Daphnia pulex: one gene and its partner. Each later gene encodes a partner of the first gene's protein in a complex. Links are inferred from orthologs where the notes say so. Each region holds a gene or a part of one and is shown on either strand. Other genes may lie near its edges.

Evidence for each region.
Region 2: the proteins of protein unc-79 homolog (region 1) and sodium leak channel non-selective protein-like are in contact, whole or in part, in a cryo-EM structure (PDB 7SX3), measured with the Homo sapiens proteins. The link is inferred for Daphnia pulex from reciprocal best matches to the Homo sapiens genes UNC79 and NALCN. Residues at the interface, in NP_001333147.1 of Homo sapiens: Cys861, Gln862, Ile865, Glu968, Pro969, Asp970, Phe1020, Gln1022, Pro2088, Asp2089, Ala2092, Pro2093, Leu2095, Leu2096, Met2099, Leu2139, Pro2141, Asn2142, Gly2143, Ile2144, Gln2147, Leu2148, Ser2151; in NP_001337678.1 of Homo sapiens: Gln349, Met350, Phe351, His352, Glu353, Gly358, Trp359, Gln360, Leu361, Phe712, Ser713, Ile714, Arg717.

Annotation. Positions count from the first base shown.
Region 1 is NC_060021.1:6,773,600-6,777,256, forward strand, and holds part of protein unc-79 homolog, read right to left. Parts: coding exon 1,972-3,657; intron 1,914-1,971; coding exon 1,790-1,913; intron 1,724-1,789; coding exon 1,474-1,723; intron 1,403-1,473; coding exon 1,296-1,402; intron 1,232-1,295; coding exon 1,064-1,231; intron 1,002-1,063; coding exon 472-1,001; intron 404-471; coding exon 1-403. UniProt on the Homo sapiens protein: Auxiliary subunit of the NALCN sodium channel complex, a voltage-gated ion channel responsible for the resting Na(+) permeability that controls neuronal excitability.
Region 2 is NC_060028.1:1,975,346-1,978,484, forward strand, and holds the end of sodium leak channel non-selective protein-like, read left to right. Parts: coding exon 1-84; intron 85-167; coding exon 168-249; intron 250-317; coding exon 318-541; intron 542-605; coding exon 606-801; intron 802-878; coding exon 879-956; intron 957-1,031; coding exon 1,032-1,416; intron 1,417-1,478; coding exon 1,479-1,674; intron 1,675-1,745; coding exon 1,746-1,821; intron 1,822-1,888; coding exon 1,889-2,102; 3' UTR 2,103-2,553; downstream 2,554-3,139. Other genes in the region: CAAX prenyl protease 2-like, read right to left, coding at 2,799-3,052, 3,126-3,139. UniProt on the Homo sapiens protein: Voltage-gated ion channel responsible for the resting Na(+) permeability that controls neuronal excitability. NALCN channel functions as a multi-protein complex, which consists at least of NALCN, NALF1, UNC79 and UNC80.

The sequences.
Region 1 (3,657 bases):
GAGTCGCGTACAGAAGATTTCCAGCTGAGCGAATAGAGGGGTCCAAATCTGGGCACTCAATTCGAGCGGCGGAAGACACTCGATATAGCAGGCCACATTGGGCAACATCATGGCGATCTGGGCTGGCGACAACTGTTTTTGCTCATTCAGTGACTCGAGCAACAACTGGAGCGGTGCCGCCGGAGTCAGTTCAACGAAATCCGTCAACGCCGATGCCATCGTCTTGAAGAAAGACTGCTTCATCTCTTCAGGCACTTGAGTCTGGAATAATTGGATGAAGACCTTGTTTGGTGTGAGCTGATGCAACAGGCACCGGAGAAATTGGCGAGCAATCGCACCAACTTCACCGGGTACGTACAAATTGCTACCCATTTGCCAGGTATATGTCGTACTTCCCGCCCACCTATAAGTTTAAATTTAAAACTTAGCTTCACATCATGTTAATTTCATAGCAAATAAAAATTGAGGTACTTTGCGTTACAGCGGAGAATTTCTGGTAGCATAGTAGCAGCCAAAGCAGGCTCGCGATGAACGAACGTCGATATAATGACGATACATAATCCGAGTTCTTCTTCGCTGAATTCTTCAAATGGTGCGTTGCATTTGGAACAACGGTGACACGCCACTTCGTCACCGACGCGAAGACAGCTCTGTTTCATGGGCGTATGTACTGCGTGATTGACAGGGGCTGGATGAGGTGCTGGGGTTTCAATCTGAGGCTGTTGTTGCTGACGGTTTGATTGTTCGGTGGATAGAAACGGAATTTCGGGACCCATGGTTCCCATAGAGATGCCCATTTTTCTCTGTCGAGTTCTGACTCCCGTAGGTGTCGCTGTGGCTGCTGCGGCGGCGGCAGCGGCGTCCGCTGCATTGACCTGACGGTGCGACACAATTGTATGGGCTTCATAGACACCCGATGGTTGTCGGACACAGGCCGCCAGCGATACTTCTGACGCTGCAGTGGCGGAATTCGGTTCTTGCTGTGACATTTCTGAGAGAACCTATTGATAGAAAAGACCCAATGATTACATAAAGGATGAAACTCGGCGTAGAAAATATTTACCTCGACTTCAGCAAGTGAATCTCGATCCCAATCAGGATCCGGCCGACTACTCTTGGGACTCTCAGGTATAACTTCAAGTTCTATGCCATCAACGTCAGCGTCGATGTCACATTCACTAGAGATACTTCCAGTCAACTCACGTCGGGACGTCAATGTGACGTTAGATTTCTGTAATAGCGGAAAAAGAAATCAGCAAATAATTCGTCATCAACGTATTAGAGATAAGATTTACCGTTGCAACTTGTAGCTGAATTTGATGTTGAATTGTAGAGGAGCCCCAGACCAATCCAGCTATGCCAAGAACAGCTCCTACACCGTGTCCAATGACATTTGCTCTTCCTAAATAAATCAATTTTAAGCATAAACATTTAAAAATCGTTCAGCAAATCGCTGAATCCTTAAATAAAAACCTTTTAGATCTGTTGGATCAATGGGAGTCTCTACTTCCAAAGAGCCTTGACTCTGGTCTCTCATCCTCATAGTTGCAGTTGAAGAGACCCCATGGAGTTGATGCTGCGCTGTCGATGGATGGCCGTGACTTAAAGTGGCCCCAATACCACCGTAGCGATAACAGCGATGGTATTGAGATTCCAGAGTGTTAAGAACGATCCGGATGATGCTCTGTACTAACGGAGCTAAATTCGGTTGGTTATAACGATACTGCAACAATGCAGAAGAAATATTTAATAAAGTTGGCCCAATCTTTTTCATAGTAAATAAACAAACCTTGTAGAGGATTACTAACACTGTTTGTAGCCACATCCGTCGAGGATGAGTTTCCAAATACCATAGGGAATAGGTCGGTTTGTAGGCTCTTTGTGGAGTCGTGCCGTTGTGTCGATCGTTGACGCTAAGTAATTGAAGGAAATTAAATAATTTCAAAATTGATCAAAGGATGGTGAACTTACTTATTCGAAGCTGCTGCAGCAGCTGAGCCGGAAGCGAAACCAACGCTACTCATGGATCCGTGAGTTGTGATGGGCACACCAGCTTGCCCATGACATTGTAACCACGAATTACCTCCAGGACCGTTGTTCTTTGACGGCGGGGCGGGGCAGAAAATCATCAAAGATAACGTCATGGGCAGAAGATTGGCTCCGATAGCTAAATTACGATCCAGAACTTGCGGAAGAGCCGAGAGAAAGGCGTTGAAAGGAGCCGATGCTCTGAGTTTCTGTGGTGTCAAACAGAAAGCTCTTTCGGTGGGTCCGTAGCCCAGCAAAAGACTCAAATGTCGAAGGACCAGGTTCTGAATTTGCGATTGGAACTTATCGTCGCTCAACTGGGCGAGATCTGGCTGCGCCAGGAATTGCATCAGCGTAGTCAACAGTAAAGAGTGGGTTTCACCATCGTAGTCGTCCAGTTCCGAGCAACGTTGCATGAAGAGAGCAACGTAGGCTTCTTCTTGAGACGCTTGTTGATTGTTCATCCTGTCGCCACCGAGAGCGCCCCTGGATCGCATCAACTTCAACTGGGCTGAAGAACTTTGTCGGCTGTAACTCTTGGTCACTCCGTGCTGTGGGTGATGATTGGGTGTAGACTTTCGGCGATTGAAGCGATGAGTTGACAGGCTCAACGACCGCATCAAGCTCCTCGGTTGCTGTTGAGTCGGCGAACTAGACCTGCTAGGAGCGTAGCGCTTGATGGCCTCACGAGCTTTCTGCAATTTCTTGTTGAAGCTTTCGTTTGACATGTGACTGGACTTGAGATCTCGCGGTTCAATCAATTCCCCGGCCCGCTGTAGGCTCAACTGGGCTTCCAAATACAGAGCGTCGAAACGATTGAAAAAGAATTTCCACGAAATGATCTTGCGTTTGGTCAGCCAAGGGTGATGATGCAGGGCCATAATAGAGTGCAACAACAGAGGTCTGTCGCTGATGAAACTGTCAAACTGCTGTTCCATACACCAAACGAGCAGTTTAAGCGATCCATCGTGCAAGCTCTCGAGGAGTATGGTTGCCCGGTTGGCTACAGCCGTGTTGATATCGTCCATTGATGAAATGAGGAAACAAAAGGCGTTGGTCAGGATCGACTGTAAAATGGAACTCTGTTTGACGGTGGGATCGTCCAGAAATTGGCACACCAACATCATCCGCTCCACGGATGAAAAGCGAGTCTTCCAATCGCGCGAGTGGAAATCCGATTCCATAATTTTCCAGAAGACATCCGATCCACCCGGAAGAGTGAGACAGTGCAGCAAGAGAGAGGCACACGTCTGGGCGACGTGCGATGTTTGACTCTCGAGGAGATTCCAGAGCTGGGCCACGGTGAGGTTTTCTTGAACCCAAAACAGGAAGCCTGGATGCTCGCGACAGGCGGATTTACTGAGCACCTCGCAGTGTAGACAAAGGATTTCGACGCAGCGGAGTAGATGTCGCTGAGTGTCCGGTCGGATCAAGTGGTAGAGCTCTTTCAGGAATCCGTAAATGAGTTGGAGGTGATTCGGCAATTCATCCAGCGCAAATCGAAATTTGCCGGCCGTCGTCACCCAATATTGTTGATTCGGCTGTTGATGGTCTGGATGATCCATGTGGTCTGAAGGATCCACGTCCGTCAACATGCTCGGCTGAGCTACTTGGGCTTTGCAGCCGGCC
Region 2 (3,139 bases), on another chromosome or scaffold:
CCATCACGGGCAAACACGCCACGTTGAAAATGCTGATGCTCACCGTGGTCGTCTCCGTCTACAAGAGCTTTTTCATTATTATGGGTACCTATAATACCTCGTACAATCTACATCTCTTAGCACACAATTTTATACCGATGTCGTTTATTTCTTTCCGTCGAATGCAGGCATGTTCTTGCTCATCTTCGTTTATGCCCTGACCGGCTGTCTGCTCTTCGGTACGGTCAAATACGGCGAAAGTGTTGGAAGGTATTAATTATTGGCATAAAGTTATTATTCTTATGAGAATTATTTCATCTTCTTTTATGTCTGTAAAGGCAAGCCAACTTTGGCAGCACGCCTAGGGGCATCATCATGCTGTTCCGTATTGTGACGGGAGAGGATTGGTACAAAATCATGCACGACTGCATGGTGTTGCCGCCGTTTTGCACACCGGGCGCCAATTATTGGGAAACGGATTGCGGCAATTTCACGGCTGCCATGATCTTTTTCTGCTCCTTTTACGTTATCATCACGTACATCGTTCTCAACCTTCTTGTCGGTACGGGGTTTGATATACCAAGTGCATCCTCCGATAACTAAAACCTATTCTTTTTCTGGGTTAGCGATTATTATGGAGAACTTTTCCCTCTTCTATTCCAACGAAGAGGACGCCCTTCTCTCCTACGCCGACATCCGCAATTTCCAAAATACGTGGAACATTGTGGACGTCAACCAGCGCGGTGTTATTCCCGTACGGAAAGTCAAATTTGTCCTGCGTCTACTCAAAGGCCGTCTCGAAGTCGATCCTCAAAAGGATCGGTAGGCGATTTAATATAATTCCATCAAATAATTTTGACAACGAATGTTTCACTTCAACTTGTAACATTAATTTTTAGGCTCCTTTTCAAGCACATGTGCTTCGAGTTAGAACGACTACACAACGGAGAAGATGTCACCTTCCACGACGTTCTGAAGTAAAACAATTCAAATTAGAAACCTATTTCTGTTACGTATATTTAATCAACGCTATATTTTAATTGTTAATGTAGCATGCTGTCGTATCGTTCGGTGGACATCCGCAAGTCGCTGCAACTGGAAGAGCTTTTGGCCCGTGAAGAGCTTGAGTACATCATCGAAGAAGAAGTGGCCAAGCAAACCATTCGCCAGTGGCTGGATTCGTGCTTGAAACGAATGAAGACTGTGAATATTCACGACACCGTTTGTTCTCCCCCTATTTTTTTGTTGTTTTTTTGGTGTCTTTCCCTTCCCCTGACGTTACGCAATTTAGTGATTCATTTGTTCATCTTACAGAAGGAGCACAATAGCTTATTGGCCGGTTTGCGGGCTACCAACGACCAACTTCAAGAGGCCCAGGAAGAAAAAAACCGGGAATTCAACGCTGGAGGTGCCGAAAGAGATATTTCTGAAGTGAAGGTGTGATCAATTGCGTTATATACATAATTCTGGCGGTACTAAATTGAAACTGGGCATTGCAGGAGGCGGAAGGAAGTGGCAAACATCGTCGGAAGGGTATGCTGGTCACACGCTCTGACAGCATCAACAGCGTCAGCGGTCGACGCTTGTTTTACGCTCCTTGCCACGGCGCCGATGGAATCTCCCAGCAACGATCCACCTACGACAAGGAAAGGCTGGGCGTTTCATCCAATCCGAAGAAGAGGCCATCACGTCAAAGTAATTAAAGTCTTATGTTTACAGGACCCGTGAATAGATTGCTGTAATCGGGATACTTTTTCATTCAACAGGTACCGGAAAAGGGATTCCTTCTTCCAGTTTTTCGCACTCGGCGGGCGAGTGTAGTCCTGGTGCCAGTCCAACTTGGTGAGACGTTATTTTTATTGATTTAAATCGTGAACATTTAAATGACTGGCTTTTTGAATTTGTCTAGTCCAACAACAGGTGGCCAGCACGGCCTTGTCTTCCCGTACTCGAGCATTGGTGGCGGTGCTTCTTCCAACTGGTCAAGCCGCGGCTCTGGCCATCCGCTTCCGCCGTTGGCACCACCCAGTGCTTTGGCCGTTCGCGTGGCATCGGCCGTTACTGAGGTTCAGGACTGGTGGCGGGATCAACTCGCCTCTCCCGACGGTTCCGATGAAGATTAATTAATACGTCAACCCACACACAAAAACCAAATATCTTCCTTTTGCGAAAAGCACAATTCTAGTGAACAATTTAATTCGACAAATAATGAAGCATAACAAACCACATAGTTATATATAGTCGGACATCTGTGCCAAGTCAAAGTTTATTGTTTAGATCTAAAAATGTTGTCTCAAATTACTTGGTACGACGTAAACGTGCCAGTTACCACCCCACAATCTCTTTTAGCAACCAAACATTCTCGTTTAAAGTTTCCTATTTGAGTTTCCAATGAAAAAAGGATCGATTTAAAAATATCCTGATTCATACATGACGAAGATACGTACAAGTTATTCGCACATTCGATTTCTAGTATATCGCTGTTACGAGGAAACACGGGTGGAGCATCTTGCGGCCCTTGGATGGAGTACACAGTGTTCCTCTGGATTCTAATTAATACAACTATTTAAAACATTTGAGCCTTTTCCTATTCTATAATAGTGTCAAGAGTTTATTCACTAAATTTTATTAGAATATTGAAAACAACATCTTTTTATTTCTTTTGTGCGTAGGGTAGAAAAAAAATTTGATTCTAATTTTTCAGGATCCGGGAAGACTGGAAGAGCATGAATAAATGCATAACTGTTTTAAAAGAAACTGAAGCAGCAATGTATATTTCTATGACTCAGAAAAAGCACGCGTCGAGAAAACTTTAATACTCAAGGATTATTATCATAAAGAGTTGGTTCTGTTAAAGGCCAGAGTAGGAAATACCACCCCAATAGCCCAACGACAAAAGCTGAAGCCAACACAATCCTTTTCCAACCGTTCAGTCGGCCAATCTCACCGAAATCGGGGAAACCCATCACGTTACAGAATGCGTGCGCAACACACGGAGCGGCAACATTACCCGTTCGAATAAATAAAAATGCGGCGTACATTCCGAAAAGGGTGGTGTAAGCAAACTGAAAACCTGAGAATAACGGAAATGCATTAGACAAACTCACCTTCATTGATTTACTAAATGTATAAATTTGTTTTATTACATGATAGTAGTAGA